Linked DNA regions of Caenorhabditis elegans. The protein of the gene in region 4 interacts with the protein of the main gene of each other region in a pairwise test. Each region holds a gene or a part of one and is shown on either strand. Other genes may lie near its edges.

Evidence for each region.
Region 1: the proteins of pas-1 (region 4) and W07G4.5 interact in a two-hybrid assay, tested with the Caenorhabditis elegans proteins (3 studies listed by BioGRID).
Region 2: the proteins of pas-1 (region 4) and F52G2.3 interact in a two-hybrid assay, tested with the Caenorhabditis elegans proteins (3 studies listed by BioGRID).
Region 3: the proteins of pas-1 (region 4) and vet-1 interact in a two-hybrid assay, tested with the Caenorhabditis elegans proteins (3 studies listed by BioGRID).

The regions. Positions count from the first base shown.
Region 1 is NC_003283.11:13,046,084-13,049,790, forward strand, and holds W07G4.5 (RILP-like protein 1), read left to right. Parts: upstream 1-1,896; 5' UTR 1,897-1,915; coding exon 1,916-2,162; intron 2,163-2,218; coding exon 2,219-2,849; intron 2,850-2,928; coding exon 2,929-3,091; 3' UTR 3,092-3,155; downstream 3,156-3,707. Other genes in the region: W07G4.8 (TonB-dependent receptor), read right to left, coding at 3,161-3,237, 3,283-3,466.
Region 2 is NC_003282.8:13,542,868-13,549,793, forward strand, and holds F52G2.3 (RSD-2 N-terminal domain-containing protein), read right to left. Parts: upstream 5,364-6,926; 5' UTR 5,356-5,363; coding exon 5,246-5,355; intron 4,810-5,245; coding exon 4,504-4,809; intron 4,453-4,503; coding exon 4,306-4,452; intron 4,189-4,305; exon of another isoform or gene 4,168-4,188; intron 3,748-4,167; coding exon 3,613-3,747; intron 3,387-3,612; coding exon 3,183-3,386; intron 3,139-3,182; coding exon 3,016-3,138; intron 2,966-3,015; coding exon 2,863-2,965; intron 2,821-2,862; coding exon 2,644-2,820; intron 2,205-2,643; coding exon 1,959-2,204; intron 1,481-1,958; exon of another isoform or gene 1,456-1,480; intron 1,081-1,455; exon of another isoform or gene 1,060-1,080; intron 986-1,059; coding exon 581-985; 3' UTR 538-580; downstream 1-537. Other genes in the region: Y45F10B.13 (Chitin-binding type-2 domain-containing protein), read right to left, coding at 6,895-6,915.
Region 3 is NC_003279.8:6,200,276-6,203,807, forward strand, and holds vet-1 (Very Early Transcript), read right to left. Parts: upstream 1,802-3,532; 5' UTR 1,792-1,801; coding exon 1,685-1,791; intron 1,600-1,684; coding exon 750-1,599; 3' UTR 523-749; downstream 1-522.
Region 4 is NC_003283.11:14,421,065-14,424,192, reverse strand, and holds pas-1 (Proteasome subunit alpha type-6), read left to right. Parts: upstream 1-1,574; coding exon 1,575-1,646; intron 1,647-1,695; coding exon 1,696-2,032; intron 2,033-2,090; coding exon 2,091-2,422; 3' UTR 2,423-2,627; downstream 2,628-3,128. Other genes in the region: rrsr-1 (Ribosome biogenesis regulatory protein homolog), read left to right, coding at 1-81, 135-297; rpoa-12 (DNA-directed RNA polymerase subunit), read left to right, coding at 895-1,021, 1,070-1,187, 1,249-1,363; dhs-22 (DeHydrogenases, Short chain), read left to right, coding at 2,766-2,854, 2,903-3,029. UniProt on the Caenorhabditis elegans protein: The proteasome is a multicatalytic proteinase complex which is characterized by its ability to cleave peptides with Arg, Phe, Tyr, Leu, and Glu adjacent to the leaving group at neutral or slightly basic pH.

The DNA.
Region 1 (3,707 bases), 1.4 Mb from region 4:
TTAGCCCTTATACAGGGAACCAGAGCTTGTTTCTTATCATTCGCCCCCGGAATCCTTCCTCCATTCTCACATGTAAAATAAATACGTTTGTCCAGAAAATCACAAACAACATGCACAACTGAATAGTTCCGGCTGAACAAAAGACTGGATTAGAAGTATAAATATCCAAATAGAGAAAAAAACTTATCAAACTTTTAGTTGTGTGTCCACTTCTTGTTTTATTATAGGCTCTTTGTCTTTTTTGTTTCTTATCTTTGTGCCGATAAAGAACTGAAACCAAAAGTGTCAATGGACTGTCAAAAACCACTTTTCAAGACCTTGTTTAGTGGCTCCACTTTGAATAAATAGCTGAAATTCCGAGTTTGTATTTTTTTCAAGAATTCAAAATTTTGTTATATTTACAGCTTTAGGGTGTGTAAGTGTTGACATTTCAAAACTTGTGCGAGAATTCTCAAGAGAATTTTAATTTTTTTTGTAGTTATTGCATTATAGTTTCAACGATTTTGGCATACTTTCTTAAAGGCGCACAGAGTTATTCAGATAGGTCTCGATGAGCAAAAAAGTTTATGGTAGTTTCTTTTAAAATGTTTATTTTGAAAAATTATTTAAAACAGTTTTAACAAAAGTAAAGAAAGGCATAAAATTCACCTTAAAAAACTTTATGCTTCAGATCGAGCTGAACATTATAATATGATCAATTCCAAGCCATATAAAAATGAAAATCCTAAGAGAAGAAATGAAAAAAACTTTAAAATTTACGACCAACCTTCGAACCTATCACCTCACCCATCAAAAAACAGGTTTATCTATCAATTTTCAATTTTAACACAGAGATCCCAAACCATTCACATGTTCTTCTTATTCAAGTCAGACCACCTCAATGGGTGTTACACTTTAGATTGTCCTTTTTATCTTTATAACCTTGTTCTCTTTTTGTATTCTTTATATCATTCGGCAACGAACGAATATTTTGCTCTCTTTTATTAATTTTGCGTTTTTTTCGCTAAAAATACGGTACACGGTCTCGAAACGACACATTTTTGTTAAATAAAAATTGTGTGCACCTTTAAAGAGTACTGTAATTTCAAATTTTTTTTTCCACTTAATTTTCATCGATTTTGCATAGTTTTTCAATAAAATTGTATTTATTCGATAAGAATAACGCAAAAAATGAGTTTGAAATTACAGTTCTCTTTAAAGGAGCACACCTTTTTGTTATAATAAAATTGTGTCGTGTCAAGACCTTGGACCGTAGTTTTGTCCAAAAGTCGCATAATTTCGCGTCTGGGTAATATTTTTCTTCAGACAAAAATTCAAATTTCAAAACTTGTTTTCATTAAATTCCATAACATTTTTGTTTCTTATCACTATACGATTCGCGAAGAAAAAAAAACAACAATGGGAGAAAACAAATTATGCAAAAATAACACGAGTGGGGGTGGAGCCATGTGCTCTGCGTTTTCTTTCTCCTCATTTCTCATTCTTTCCCCTCTTATTTTATGCGCCCTGCTCAAAATCGATTTCGGCTCTCCCACGTATGTTCCTGGGAGCTCATGAATACAAAGAGCATTTAGAATAATGGTAGATCTTTGTTTTTCATACGTGAATTTTGACACTTTTTCAGTTACTTTTTTGCCTACAAACCGCATACGTATTCGTTATCATAGGTAATATGACTGATATGACGATCAATTTTCCTCCTATTCTCTGCCAACACAAAGGTGTAACAGATGCAACGTCGCGCCGCCCTATCGCCTTTTGCATTCATTGAAACTGGCGCCACCAAATACTAACCGCCTATTAACTTTAATCTTGTACAGTTCTTTAACCATTCATCTTCCATTTTTATTCATCCGTGATTTTTTTTTTTAAAGTTAATTTTTATTTTCATTTCAGCGGAGTAAGCCATCTCACAATGCCAGTTCCACAATCCGAGCAACTCGTAAAGCTTTTGGAAGTTCAGAGTGTAAAGCTGAATGAAGTGCAAAACAATTTGAGACTGAATCGATATAAAGCTCAACAAGATATTCGTCAAGCAATCGCTGCAATGATTGTATCACTTAGAGAACGCGAAAGACAACTTATTGGAGATCTAGATAGAGCATTCTATAAAAAAGAAGGAAAACTCGTGAACCAGATGGATATTGTTGCCGAAGAACTTGGTGAGTGACGAAATTTATTTGCTTTCAATTATTTTTCACATTTCTCTTCATTTCAGCCGCTTGTAATCTTGGGCTCCCTGCTGGCAATTCTATTCTGAATGTGGATGATGACGTACGTCTTGAGCTGGATCTTCCGATCTCAGACATCAGAGCTATGCACGAACGTATTCTCAAGATGGGAGAAATTCGAATTTCACAAAATTGTCAACGACTTCCAATGAAGAAGGTCGGACGTACTTTGCCTCTTGATATGGAATCATATGACGACGACAACATGTGGCTTTTGACCAAGAAGAGCAAAACTGACACATCTCCTGAAACTCCACACGAAGTTGATACTGTGAAGAGTTGGCTGAGCCGTCTACCAGATGGAAATGCTGCTCTCAACGTCGACTTATCGTCTTTTGTAAGCGGAGAATCGAAAAGTGAAAGCTCGGAGAGCAATGCAAGTTCATTTGAACTTCTAAATGAAGTGGCAATGTGCTTGAAGTATACTGCCAACGCCGACAAGGCATTCCGTGATAGAATTGAAACTATTCACAACGAGCCAGCTAGTAAATGGTTACTTCATTCCGATGAAGAAAGCTCTTCAACACACCTACCACGCCCTCCAGTTCCAGCAAGATTCCGAGATGATGGTGAAGACAACGAGGATGATTTTGAGAGAGAGGACATCAATACCGAATGGTGAGTATTTAATATTAGTTTTGTGGAAAGCCAACTAGAAATCTATATTGCCACTTTAAAAAATTTCATTTATTTTCAGCTCATCTGACTCATTCAAATTCATCGATGTTATCAGCAAACTTCAAAATTCCGAAAATTCCAAATGGCTACAAGCACAACCAACAACTATAGAAATGAATGAAGATGAAGATCAAAGCCCTGCCGCAAATCACAGAAGATTCGTTCAGAAGTATTGCCAATAATGGTGTTTTTTTTTAATTTCATTTTTGAGCCAGTTCATCAATAATAAACAAATTGTACAGTTTATCAATTCATGAATTCAAATGTTCAAGTGCTCCAGGTTTATAGTCGACAGATTCCAAGATAATGTTTCCGTCGACAGTTCGGACTGGAAGAGAACTTTGTTGATAAGAATTCGGAAAAGTACACTTACCTCGAAATTGCTGATTAATGTTTTGTGCCCGACTGGCTTCTAATATTTGTTGAAGCAAATCAACTACACTTTTTGCATCTCCACTCATTTCAATTACTTCTGACTCCCTTGGAGGGATTGTTTGAGAGAAAACTTCTGATATAATTAGAAGAAAAAGAATTGAAAAAAGTAGAAATCTATGCATTTGAATATTCAATAGTGAATAATAAATAATAAACAAGTATACCTCCAAAAAGTGAGGGATTTTTCAATTTTATGGGATGATCATAAAACTAGATTTCATAATTTCAAAGTGAAAGTGAAAATGTCCAAATTGTACCTAATATTATTGTACTGTACCGGAAATACATAACAGAAACACATGTTTTTTTTCGTTTTTATTTTGTCCATTCTTCATACCAAAATGGATATTTTTGGGTTTTCAG
Region 2 (6,926 bases), on a different chromosome or scaffold from region 4:
TGCATCACTTTCAAAGTTAAATAAATACATTCAAATTTAATTCGACCGCTTCAGATTTTCTAACAAACTCCCAGACTACTCAATTCCTTCGAAATTAAGATAAATTCAAAATGTCAGAAATTGCCGAAAAATGAAAACTTTCGGCAATCGGCAATTTTGACAATTGTAGGTTCTGTTCATTTTCGGCAATTGGCAATTTCGACATTTGCCGGTTTTGTAAATTTTCTGCAGTTGCCGGTTTAAAAAATTTTCGGAAAACGGCAATTCCGGGAAGTGCTGGTTTTGTAAATTTTCGGAAAACGGTTTCTCCGGCAAGTGCCGGTTTTGTAATTTTCCGGAAATTTGCGATTTCGGCAATGTACGGCAATGTACGGCAAATGACAATTCCGGCATTTGCCGGTTTTGTAAATTTTCGGCAATTGACGGCTTACAAAATTTCCGGCAAACGGCAATTCCGGCATTTGCCGGTTTTGTAATTTTCCGGCAAATGGCAATTTCGGCTGATACATCTAGAATAGTGCAACAACGTTCTTCATAGCATAAACTCGTTTATCTTTTCAAATAATAACTTTTCACATAACTAGTTATTTTCCAAATGCTCCGAGCACTCTTTCAATTTTTCTTCCAATGCTTGTAGTCTTCTCGGATTATAACCTCTCAGTGTTTCCTTCAACTGCCTGTTGTCCAAAAACTTTTTAATCGCATCGCACAGAGATTCCATCATATCATTGGTTCGTTCCAATTTATTTTTGAATTCAGCAGTTTCACCCAAACTAATTGAAGATCTGGAAGATACTGGAGGCGCCTGCGAGTGATAATATTGCATGTTGTTTGACATGCTGTGTTGTTGTGCATTTTCTGTTTGATAACTATTTGAACTGCCTGCTGGTCGTTGTTGCTGAGCAAAATGTTCTTGTTGAGCACGTTTCTTTTGCATCTCAATATCGTCATTGTGTCTTTTCACATTATCAGCAGTGTCTCCTAACTGGAAGTTAGATTATTCTTTAAAAGCAGAGTTTGGGAAATAAGGATTTTGTATTAAAAATATTCCAATAAGTACATGGTGAAGCTACAAGCGGATCAATGACATTTAAAAAAAAACAATTCTTGAAGAAGTGGTGAAACGGGAATTTTTTAAATTTGAAAAAGTGGAAATTATTATATAGCAATTTCAAATTTCAACTAATTTTAGGTCATTTTTGAGCCATCATAGCGTTTTTTTGAGACATTTTCAAGAAGTTTCATCATGAATTTCGGTGTTTTCAGACAATTTCGAGTCTAAATTTTTTAACCTAACTTTGAAAAAAATCGGAACGAAACTAAAACAAGTTGTTCAAAATAACTGTGACGTCACAATTCCAAAAATGAGGTTGTAAACTTTTTCCGTGTGAAATATGAAATGTTTAGCATTTTTGTAACGTGTTTAGTCAGTTTTTATCAAAATTCTAATGAAAATGTAAAGTTTTTAGCAACACATCAATGACAGATTAAAAAATACAATTCTTGAAGAAGTGGTGAAACGGGAATTTTTTGAATTTGAAAAAATGAAAATTATTATATAGAAATAAAAAATTCGACTACACCTAAAGTTAGTTTAAACTTGATAATTAAATAGATAATTAATTTGTTTACCTAAAATTAGACGGTGATTTAAAAAAAGTTTCCAGCCGCTTCACAATTTGGCCAAATTTCAAATTTCAACTAATTTTAGGTCATTTTTTGAGCCGCCATAACTATTTTTTGAGAAGTTTTTAAGAAGTTTCATTATAAAATTAGGTTTATTCAGACAATTTCAAGTCTAACTTTGAAAGAAAGGGAAAAAGAACTGTCTAAAATAACTCTTGAAGAAGTGGTGAAACGGGAATTTTTTAAATTTGAAAAAGTGCAAATTATCATATAGCAATAAAAATTTCGACTGTACCACCTTTAAAAAGTTTTTCATGAGATCAAATGCTTACGTTTCCAATCTCCAACTGTTCTTGTCTCTTTCTATATAATTCGCTGGCACCAACTATTTCCACCAATTCCCATATAAAAACTTCCACTTCTTCATCTTCAGAAATCCAATGAGAATCGACCATCATTCGTGGTACTTGCCTACGCACAAATCGACAGAAACAACAAATGTTCTCGGCCACCTTCCGGTTGTAGTAATTCTGTGCCACGTTCAGAATGGATAGCTGATTTTGTTGGGGACCTAGTACCTGAGAAAGGAAGAATTATTTTCTTTCAAGGTTTCAAAAGTTTCACACTAGTTGTGTTCGGCAATTTCGGCAAATCGACTTTTTAAATATTTGCCTAGTACGGAAAATTCGGAAAATTTGCCGTGACTCGCTAAATCGCAATATTTTTTGGAGCTTAAAAATTGCCAAAATTAATGGATTAAACTAAGTTTACTGGTTTTTGTTCGATTTTTGGCTAATACGCGTGTGAATTTCTTGAATTGAAAAATAAAAGAAACACGATGTTATGTTTTGTTTCATTAAGTCTCTGATCAAAACCATTAGAGATTTGAACAAAATTTTTATAAAAATTTTTTCATTTGAGTTTCAATATTTGCCGTGCTCGACAAACGGCAAATTCGGCAAATTTGACACAACATCAATTACATCAATTCATAATGCTAAAATATTGTGAACTCACACTATGTGCCAACATAACATAACCAACAATTTCGCAGCTGAAAATCGGATTTCCTCCGATCGTTGTCCATTTACTAAACTTTCCTTCAGGCCGAGAAAGATCGACTTTGAACAATGCGAAACATTCTTTTCCAACGGTTTTCACCTCATTTTTTTCATTGTTAACATTATTTATTGCCTGAAAAGAGAAATCACTTAAAGATTGCATAGTTGTGCCTACCGTAATCTCAAATGGTGCCCAATGAGTAGTTGCTTGAACTGGAATAGGCTTAAAACTACAATTGAAAACACTTCCCAGAGAAGTTGTAATTTGATGTTTGGACCTGAAATCGTCAATTTATGCATGCTGAAAAACAGGTACCAAAATAAGTACCAATAATGAATCGCCGCTTTTTGAACGCTTCGAAGATATACAATTTGCATTATTCCATTTTCATACGTGACCATTCCCATTGATTCTGGAAGTATTGGTGCAGGATTTGGGAGTTGGGGCTCACTGTAAATTGGGTAAACTTTTCAGTTGTTTCAATGATTTCTTACTTTCTTATAACTTGATCTGATGAGCTGGAACTTCTGCCAGAATAATATTCAGTTGAGCCTCGCGAATTTGCAGTTTCAAGCGGTTGATCAGTACGTCCAACACCACTGAACTCTCCATAAATGCTGTTAGTTACCGAGCGTTGCTGGTTGATTTGCTCTCTATAGGGAGCCTGATTTTGTACAGTTTGCGGTTGTTCACTTAACCTGAAATTGAAGCTTGATTGCGACGAGTAGTTATGATCAGAGGCGCGCGGCAATTTTTCACCGGCAATTTAGAAAATTCGGTCAAATTTTAAACACTTTCACGGTTGTTCCAAGTCAAATAAAAGTTATTTTCAAACAAACACCATAAGTTATACAAATACGCACAACCAGGAACTCAGGTAGGTAGGCAGAAGGTAGGCGTCTATGCATAGAAATGATATCTTACTTTCTTGCCGCCGGTACCGGTTGTGGTCTCAGACTATCACACGAAGATCTTCCAGTGTAGGAATGATTTGAAGATGGTTGATGTGCCGACGGCAGGATAGGATAGGCAACAGTTTCAATCAAACGAGTTTGTTTTCTGCAATTATTTTAAAAGTGGAGTAGCGTCAGTGGGAGTTTTGTCTAAATAAACATATTCCAAAAAATTTTAGATTAAAAAAAAATTTCAGTCAAAGTTTTGGCAAATTGTCAAATTTTTGAGTATGAGCTTTAAAGGAAATCCAGTGCGATGTCGCATGTTCCGACCCCTAGAATGTTTTAAAACGAAAAATAAAAAACAATATTAAAATATAGAAATTGTAGGAACAACCTTTTTTCGGCCGACTTCCAAAATTTTTGAGTGGCAAAAACTGAGCAATTTTCATTTTTTTTACAGTAATGGAGTTATTCAAGTAATGTTGCAACATGTATTTAAATGCATTCATGACGTCACAGCTGTATAAAAAAAACATGTTTTTTAAAATGTATTTTAACACAGTAATTTTTCTGCACTTTTTAATTTTCCGCCACTATTTGAATTACCCCATAAACTAAAAATTTCCAAAAAAAAAGTTTTACTATGATTTTTTGCCATTTTGGAACCATAGGAGTGCTTTTTAACAGTGTCTTTTTAAACAGGATGAAAAAAAAAACTCACGTTGTTCTCTGAATATCTGCAATTCGTTTCCTTTCAAATTCCATCATTTTCAAACGCACTTCCGCAGCATCTCGATTATCAATTACTCCTACTAGTTGAACAGCTTTCATTAGACATTCGCCTGTATTTTTATAATCTAGGTCATTTCTAAACGTGGTAAAAATTAATTATTCAACTTCTGATAATAAATGAACTAACACTGCGATTAAATATTTAAAAAATGCGACTTTAGTGTTTTTTGCTTTAAACTGTGAACAATTGACGGGACCATACCAATCGGCGTATCCAATATTCCGATCATAAGTGAGATGACTTGGATCCGAACTGAATCCAATCCAACTTTTAAACATGACAACATCGGTTTTTTCCTTTGGCAATATGACACAATCTTCCGGAGCCGGCGGTTCGATAACTATGGTTCCGCACTCAGGACTTATGAAGCAGACACCGTCAATTTGAACAATTTTCAGATTTTCGACAGCCAGAAATTGGCCAATTTGTGGCCTGAAACTTTATTGTAACACTCCAATAACGTTTAGATTTTTCGAAAATTTCAATAAAAATTTGGTATTTTCCACATTTTTGGCACATTTTATGCACATTTTTGCACATTTTTTGCACATTTTTTCCACATTTTTTGCACATTTTTTCCACATTTTTTGCAAATTTTTAAACGCTCCATATATCTAAAGTTAAAGTTTTTGGCAATCGGCAACCACCTGCCGATTGCCACACAAGTTTTTTAGGGTTCAAAGTTGTAAGTTAAACTTTCACCAAATTATTGAAAAATGAGTCACCGGTTTCGAGCGTCGAACTCTGATGCACCAAGCACCTCACTCAACGCGCAATCAGCAAATTTTTCTCTCAAAAAATTGGCTAGGCAGGAAAGTAGGTAGGCAGGCAGGCAGGCAGGCAGGAAAGAACATGAAATAAAACTTACTGTACACTTTCCACAAGGTTTGCGTGAAGAAGTTCATGGGTTTCACGGTTCAAACAAATAGCTTCCCGATTCAATATATCATATTTCAAGACAAGAAGCCTCGTTTCCATGTTTTAGGCTGAAAATTTGAGGAACTTTTGAACTGGAAACATTGAAAAATTGAATTGCTATTGGTAAAAGTAACTTTGAAAAAGAGGCAAACAAATAATGAAATGCTTGGTTTTATTTAAACATAGTGATAAAGTTTGAACGAAAAAATCACTGATAAGGCAAGCCAGCGCTCTCGTATCACTTCGAATTACTTCCATTGTGCCTCATTGCAAAAAAAATTCAAATGATTTGAAAATGAAAGAGCCCGAAACCGAAGAAATTGTATCTCTTGATTTTTATAATTTTTTCACGGAACTTTTTGTGCATTTTTTGCTCAGCAAGTGGATGTAGATTGCACAATTTTTTGATCTTGCATTAAAAAAAAATGTAATGTCTTTATTCTATATATTTACTCTAATGTTCTGCCATTATGAGTAAATATAAAACTCTTCAGCATAGTCAAAAATACCAGAAAATGACAATCAAAGTATAATAGCTTGTACGGAAGTATTTTTTTAAAAATTGATAAAAATAAATAAAAGCTGATTTTTTCAAAAATTCAAAAGTATGGGAAAATCATATGGAGTCATTCTTTTTTATTTCATAAAACTCTTCAGCATAGTCAAAAATACCAGAAAATGCCAATCAAAGTATAATAGCTTGTACGGAAGTATTTTTTTAAAAATTGATAAAAATATATAAAAGCTGATTTTTTCTAAAATTCAAAAGTATGGGAAAATCATATGGAGTCATTCTTTTTTATTTCATAAAACTCTTCAGCATAGTCAAAAATACCAGAAAATGCCAATCAAAGTATAATAGCTTGTACGGAAGTATTTTTTTAAAAATTGATAAAAATATATAAAAGCTGATTTTTTTCAAAAATTCAAAAGTATGGGAAAATCATATGGAGTCATTCTTTTTTATTTCATAAAACTCTTCAGCATAGTCAAAAATACCAGAAAATGCCAATCAAAGTATAATAGCTTGTACGGAAGTATTTTTTTAAAAATTGATAAAAATATATAAAAGCTGATTTTTTTCAAAAATTCAAAAGTATGGGAAAATCATATGGAGTCATTCTTTTTTATTTCATAAAACTCTTCAGCATAGTCAAAAATACCAGAAAATGCCAATCAAAGTATAATAGCTTGTACGGAAGTATTTTTTTAAAAATTGATAAAAATATATAAAAGCTGATTCTTTCAAAAATTCAAAAGTATGGCAAAATCATATGCCAATTAATTTACTCTAATGTTCTGCCAAAAAATTTACTCTAATGTTCTGCCAAATAATTTACTCTAATGTTCTGCCAAATAATTTACTCTAATGTTCTGCGAGCGGTTTTAGAGCGCTTTTGGAGCGCTTTTGAAGCGGGTTTGGTGCGGTTTTTACGTATTCAGAATTTGCTGTGGTTCTAGATAATCTGATGGCAATCTTTGTGATTATTGTTAAATATTTAACTTTATTTATAATTAAATTGCAGTCCAAAAACGGGTTCAAATAAGAAAAGATTGCCAACATTTTTTTTTAATTTTTTCAACTTGAAAAATCGACGGTCAATAGTTGCGGACAATACTCTGAAAAAACC
Region 3 (3,532 bases), on a different chromosome or scaffold from region 4:
TTCTAGGTCTGAACTGTCTTCTAATGGTATATTTGAACTCACACTCACGTATTTTATTTTATGGAATTGATTTCAAAGACACTAATCACGGTATACAAGCAGAGCATAGGTCAACATCATTAACCATTGTTGTCATTTCTTATCTAATCAGTTTTAGTTTTTCATGCAAAAATGATATTTGCACTTTTTCGCTACATCATCGACTTTTACAGATTCTAGAGTACTCTCTCAAAAAACTCATCTCGATTTCACTCAAAAAAGAACATGGAAGATGAAACCACAATTGTTGGAAATATTGTAATAGCTTTCACTAATCTACCACCTTCAGCACGTACTTTTCAAATTCCTCTTGAATTTGATTGATTTTTCCAACAGTTTTTATCGCTAGTCGTGTGTTTTACTTTTCATGTTGTGTTTCGATGTGAAGTTCTCTGATTCTGCCTGTTATTTAAAATTGATAGTAAACTTTTCGTACACCTGTTTGGTTATAAAAATCCACGTTAAAAAGTGATTCCGATATTTAATGAAACATTTATTGAATAATTAAGAGAGTAACATTTTAAGATGGATTGAAAGAATGCCGAGGCGTTGAAAAATTAAGCCGTATTGTTTCGTATTACAACAAACGAAAAAGTGCAATGGAAATGGTAAAGTAAAAGCAATAGTATCAAATCGAAAAAATGCTAAAAAAGCGATAGTAGCTAAAAGAAGAAAAATTAACACGGAAAAAGTAATTGGGTGATATTAAATTATTGATAATTGGTTACTTCTCCGGTTTCATCAAAATCTTCTTCATTTTGGAGTGTTTCCTTGATAGCAGACAATCGTTTCTTAGCAGATGCCAGATGTTCTTTCATTTTAGGTGAAGTTGTCTGAGAAGAGACACGTTCCTCGTAGAACTTTGTGCACAATCTTTGGAACTTCAAGTTGAACTGTTCGAACTCTTTTTGAGATTCTTCATATTTCGACAAGGCTTCGGATTTCATTTTCTTGGTCTCTTCAAGTTCATGTTTCAAAGCTTTGGTTCCATTTTTCATTTCATCAAGTTCCTTAGAGGTGTCGTTGTTTTCAGATTTCAATGTAAGAATATCACTTCTCAGACACAAAATTCTGACTTCTCTTTCATTGATTTCATGTACCAATACATCTTTCTCTTGTTTCAATTGTTGAGCTTCTTTGAAATATCTCTCTCTCGAATCCTTTTCCATATTCAATTCATATCTCACTCCCATACAAATGGCCGATTGTCTTTTGATAAATTCGTTCAAATTTTTCTCAACTTCAGTCATTCTTTCCTTGTATTCTTCAAAGTTCTTTTTGATTCTCTTCAATTCCATTTCTTGTTTCATCAATGTCATTTTGTTCACATTGATCTTCTTCTCATCATAGAATTCTTCACAAGCCTCGATAAAAGCATCCTTTTCATGAAGACGTTCTTTCAATTTTTCCAATGACTTTTGATGTTCTCCATTCAAATCTTCAACCTTCTTTTCCAAATTATTGATTATTGTGTAGAGACGATTGAGTTCCGAATCATGGCACTTCGCTTCCCCTTTCAGATCAGAGATCTCAAGTCGAGAATTGGCAAGCTCTCGTCGTCTGAAATTGAACATATTAAGAATGGGTTAGTACAATATAATCTATATAACAGGTTGCACGTTGTCCTAGAGTTCAAACAACTTACGTTTTCTGATGATCAAATCGTTCGTCATCCAATTTCATTTGAAGAAGTGCGATCTCCGATTTCAACTTGGACTCGGTGGGAGTGAAGAATGGATTTTCAGCAAACATAGTTTCAGTTCTGAAAAATATTTAATTGAAAAGAAACGTTTAGTGAAACTGCAGTAGAAAATACTAGAGCAAATAAATAAATGAAAAAAGGAAAGATGCACCTTTTGAGAATGTTAGGTGAGAATGAGTAATTGGATCGAAAAAACAGTGAGAGAGAACGATGGTGAGAATTTACAGCGTCCAAATATGGATCGATATTCACAATTTTGGAAAAGCGTTGCATTGTATGGTGATCTTCTGTCGAAGAACATAATATATTGATTGGATCGAGAGAAGTCATTCAGAATGTAGTTGACTCCAAATCTATGGCTATACTAAAATGGGCATTTTGTAAACGTTGAAAGAAACTAAATTTCCAATTCCAATTAATCTAGCTCCCACTATTGTTAATTCAGTACCATCGATACAAATCTCGCAGGTTTTATCAATCTTTCATCCCACTCAAACCTTAAGAAAGAAAAAAATGTTAACATTCAAAGATGTAAAAAAATTTTATCACTTTCAAGTTTCAAAAATTAATTTTGGCTATAAATATGCTATTCCAGTTTTTAATTGAAAATCTAGCAGTCTCGAAGGCCATATAAGCTATTTAAAATCAGATATACGTGCAATACGATCAGGAAAAATCCGGTACATGAAAAACCAAAGTAATACTTTTTTACACTATTTTATTTACACTAGAAATGTCAGTATTCTGAAATAGAGGGCTCTATTCTCTTTTCGTCTTCGGTTGAAGATTTTTTAAAGGAATTAATACAAATACACAATTACTTACTAGGACTGCAACTGGGATATCTCAGAAAATTAAAACAATCAAAATAAGAACAAAAAAATAAACGTACCGAATGGGACCTGGATAAAATGAGAAGAATGAATTGAGAACAACATGAATGAGAGTGAATGTTAGGTAGTTCATTACAGCGTCTGGATTTGGATCGATATCCAGAAAGGCTCTATGAGATCGTCTGCTTATTGTCTCCCTCTCCCTGAAACGGCAGATTGAGAAGGTACCAAAATATAAGGTCACAAAAACTGGTACCCTAGATTTATAGAACCATGAAATAGCTAATGGAAGTTAAGTTTATATGTATGGGGCTCTTCAAACTAGGATTTAAAAAGAGACAAAGGAAAGACTGAATTGAAGTATTAAAAACGTAATATATTTATTTGGCGGTCGCAGCGTCCGAACATGAATTGATATCCAGATTAAATCCGTTTTATTGTCAACTGTGGCACCTCTTTATCCTTAAAGTGAAAATTAAAATCCATAAAATGTACTCTAGACTGACGATGACACTCGGCTGAAATTTAATTATTTTAAATCGTTCACTTAAGTAGCTTCATTGATCTATTGAAACCAAAAATACAAACGAAATCCCACCAATATTTGTTGTAATTCCTAAATACAGAAGTTATTCAGACATTTGCCAATATTACCAACACTTCCATTTGATTTACCCTAGTTTTCAACACACAAATACTTGCATGTTGTTCTTAAATTTTTTTTTCTTTCTTAAGAAATAAAAAGAATATGATTTCAAAATGTGGCATGCAAATCTGACTATCAGACAATTGATAATGAGTCAAATCTTTGTATATAATTTTTTTTAATTAGCAAGATCTTTGTAATATTCTACTTTACTAAAGCTATTCAAGCATTTGTTGCCTTCTATCAGTATTCATCTAAAAAGTTTAATAACAGGTTTTAGACAAATTTCAATTTTTTTTTCGGGAAATGCAC
Region 4 (3,128 bases):
CCAGATTCTTCAACGAATGAAGTCAAAGAAAGCAAAGATTGTTGAAGAAAAGGCTGCTGCAGTTGCTGGACCTTTGAGAGAGTGAGTAGTGAGAAAATTAGGCCTTTATCGTTATTCAATTCAATTAATTTCAGGAAGAAGGAAAAATCGGAGAGGAAAGGTGCTAAAGATCAAACAAGACAGAAGAGTCAGATTCACAGACAACAGTGGTTCAAAAACAAGGTCGACGGCAAGAAGAAGGGTACTGGTGGTGCTGGAAAGAAGGGAGCCAACAAGGCCAAAGCAAGAAAGGGATAATCTATGTTCTTGTTTTTTATTCAAATTTGTTGATTTTGATTCGTTTATTTTTTTTGTTACTTTCTTTTTTATTCATCAAATTTTAACATTCAATAAATAAATGTTCTGTTAAGTAGAAAATGTTACTTTTCTTCATGAAATGATGTTTTAGTTCTCGATTGTGAATTTACCTGGGATAGGTTATTTTATTAAATTTGTTCAGAGTTTTATATAATCCCAATTATTTTTCTCTGGCATGTTTTTTTTTTCTCTGAATGTAAGAAAGCCAACATTGATTCGCGATTTTCAAATCTATGAAATTAATAGGCGGAGTTTTCTTTGCCAGATCCAGCAACTCGGCCATCTTTCAAACCAAGATAAGTGATTTTAGATCATTTAACAATTTGCCTGTCAAGACTTAATATTTTCTCAACTAGTAAAGTGCTGTTCCCATTTACTCAGCAATCTGTTTCTTCGAAAGTCACAAATCGGTAGTGTCTCAATTTCCAAGCGTGCTCCATCGCACTCCCTTTAAATTTTGTCATCTTTTCGGCGTTCTCATCATTTTTCAACCTTCAACAATATATTTTAGTCGAAACTTCATTAATTCAGCTTAAAATGGCTTTGAACTTCCTCTCATACGACGATGACTTTTGTGGATATTGCGGCGCCATCTTGGAACTACCGGCACAGGCTCCAGCGACGGTCTCCTGCAAAGTATGCTCAACTCGATGGGCTGTGAAAGGTTTCCTGCTTTTAAGATGAATATATTCTAATTTTAAAATGTTTTCAGAAAGAGTAGATCAAGTGGTTAGCCGTGTCGAAAAGATCTACGAACGAACGGTTGCTGATACAGATGGAATTGAAAATGACGAGTCAGCGGATGCTGTTGTTGATCATATTTGCACAAAGTAAGAATATTTCCGGGGATTTTGAAACTGAGAAAGACTGAAACTAATTTCCAACTTTAAGGTGCGGTCACTCAAAGGCATCATATTCTACTATGCAAACGAGATCTGCAGATGAAGGACAAACAGTATTCTATACATGCCTGAAATGCAAGAAGAAGGATATCGAATATTCTTGATAACCTTTCGAGTCTTTATTTTTCAAATCAGATTTTTATTTCTGTTGTTATATATTGTTGAATTTTTGTTTTTGTTTCCTGAATATTCCATTAAGTTTCTTTTTATTCGTTTTTTTTTTCATTTTATTGGTACACTGGTCAATAACCAGATTTCCTATCTTTATCGGTTTTCAAATTAATGGTTGATTTCCACTTTAAAATTTATGTTTAGATGTCTCGTGGAAGCAGCGCCGGATTCGATCGTCATATTACCATCTTCTCTCCAGAAGGACGTGTTTATCAGGTTATAAAATAATAGTTGAATGTTTATAACTTTCCATGCTTGCTTCCAGGTCGAGTATGCCTTCAAAGCAATCAACTCTACCAATCTGACGGCTGTCGCAGTCAAGGGAGCTGATGCAGCTGTCATTGCCGTTCAAAAGCGTGTTCCAGACAGTCTCATCGTCGCTGATACCGTCACTTCGGTTTATCAAATCTCTCAGTCTGTTGGATGCTGCGCCATTGGAATGATCCCGGATGCTAAATTCCAAATCAAGCGTGCACAGGGAGAAGCTGCTAGCTGGAAGTACAAGAACGGCTACGATATGCCATGCGAGCTTCTCGCCAAAAAGATGGCTGATCTCAACCAGTATTACACACAAAATGCGGAGATGCGTAGTTTGGGATGTGGTTAGTAGAAAAATTTCCGAATTCTCTAACTTCAATTATTACAATTACTCAATTTCAGCTCTTTTGTTCATTTCCTACGATGACGAGAAAGGACCAGAAGTTTATCGTGTTGACCCCGCTGGATACTACCGTGGTATGAAAGGAGTATCTGTTGGAGTGAAACAACTTCCAGCGACCTCATTCTTGGAAAAGAAAATTAAGAAGAAGTCCGAATTGACATCCACAGAAGCTATTGAACTCGCCATTGAGGCTCTTCAGACTTCATTGGGAATCGACGTTCGTTCCAAGGATCTTGAGGTTGTCGTTGTCACCAAGGATAACTCCAAATTCACCAAGCTAACCAGCGATCAGGTCGAACATCATCTCAATCAAATCGCCAACCGAGATTAAATATTCATCGACCTTTGTATTTAAATATTTCCCGTTTCAATTGATCCGGTACCCAAATTGAATTAAATACCTGGTTTCCCTTTTCTAAATTTATTTATTGTTTTCTTTACTCCCTGTTTCTCGGTCTTTTTTATCATTGCCCTCCGCCCCTTTCTCTTTTGAAACTATTTATTTATCACTAAAAATCATGATAAAATGATTTTTGAAACACTTCATATTATTCATGTTGACTTTGATGGTGGTTTCGCAATCCCTGTTATTTATTTTTTAGTACGAATTCATTGAAGAAAACTGCAAGTTAAAAAAATTATACATTCAAAGTTTTAACAGACCATCTATTAAAATGGATGGTGCAGATGCTGAAGAACATGGAGGATTCCTCTTTTTTGTGCTCGCTTCATCCGTAGTTTTTATTGTGCTCTTTTTCACAAGGTAATCGATATTTCACGATAGCTAAAACTATAATCTAAAATATTTCAGACGTTACTTTAAAGGAGGTCAATTCAATGAAAGAGTCTCTGCAAAGGGATTAGTAGCCGTTGTGACCGGTTCTAATTGTGGAATTGGATTCGAGACAGTTCGGGAACTTAATTTGAGGAAAGCTGATGTGAGTTACAGAACTAATTGCATTGTTATAATTAATTGCTAATTACTAATTACATAAATTGCATTTGTTTCTAAACAATGCTATCCATATTTAAGTTAT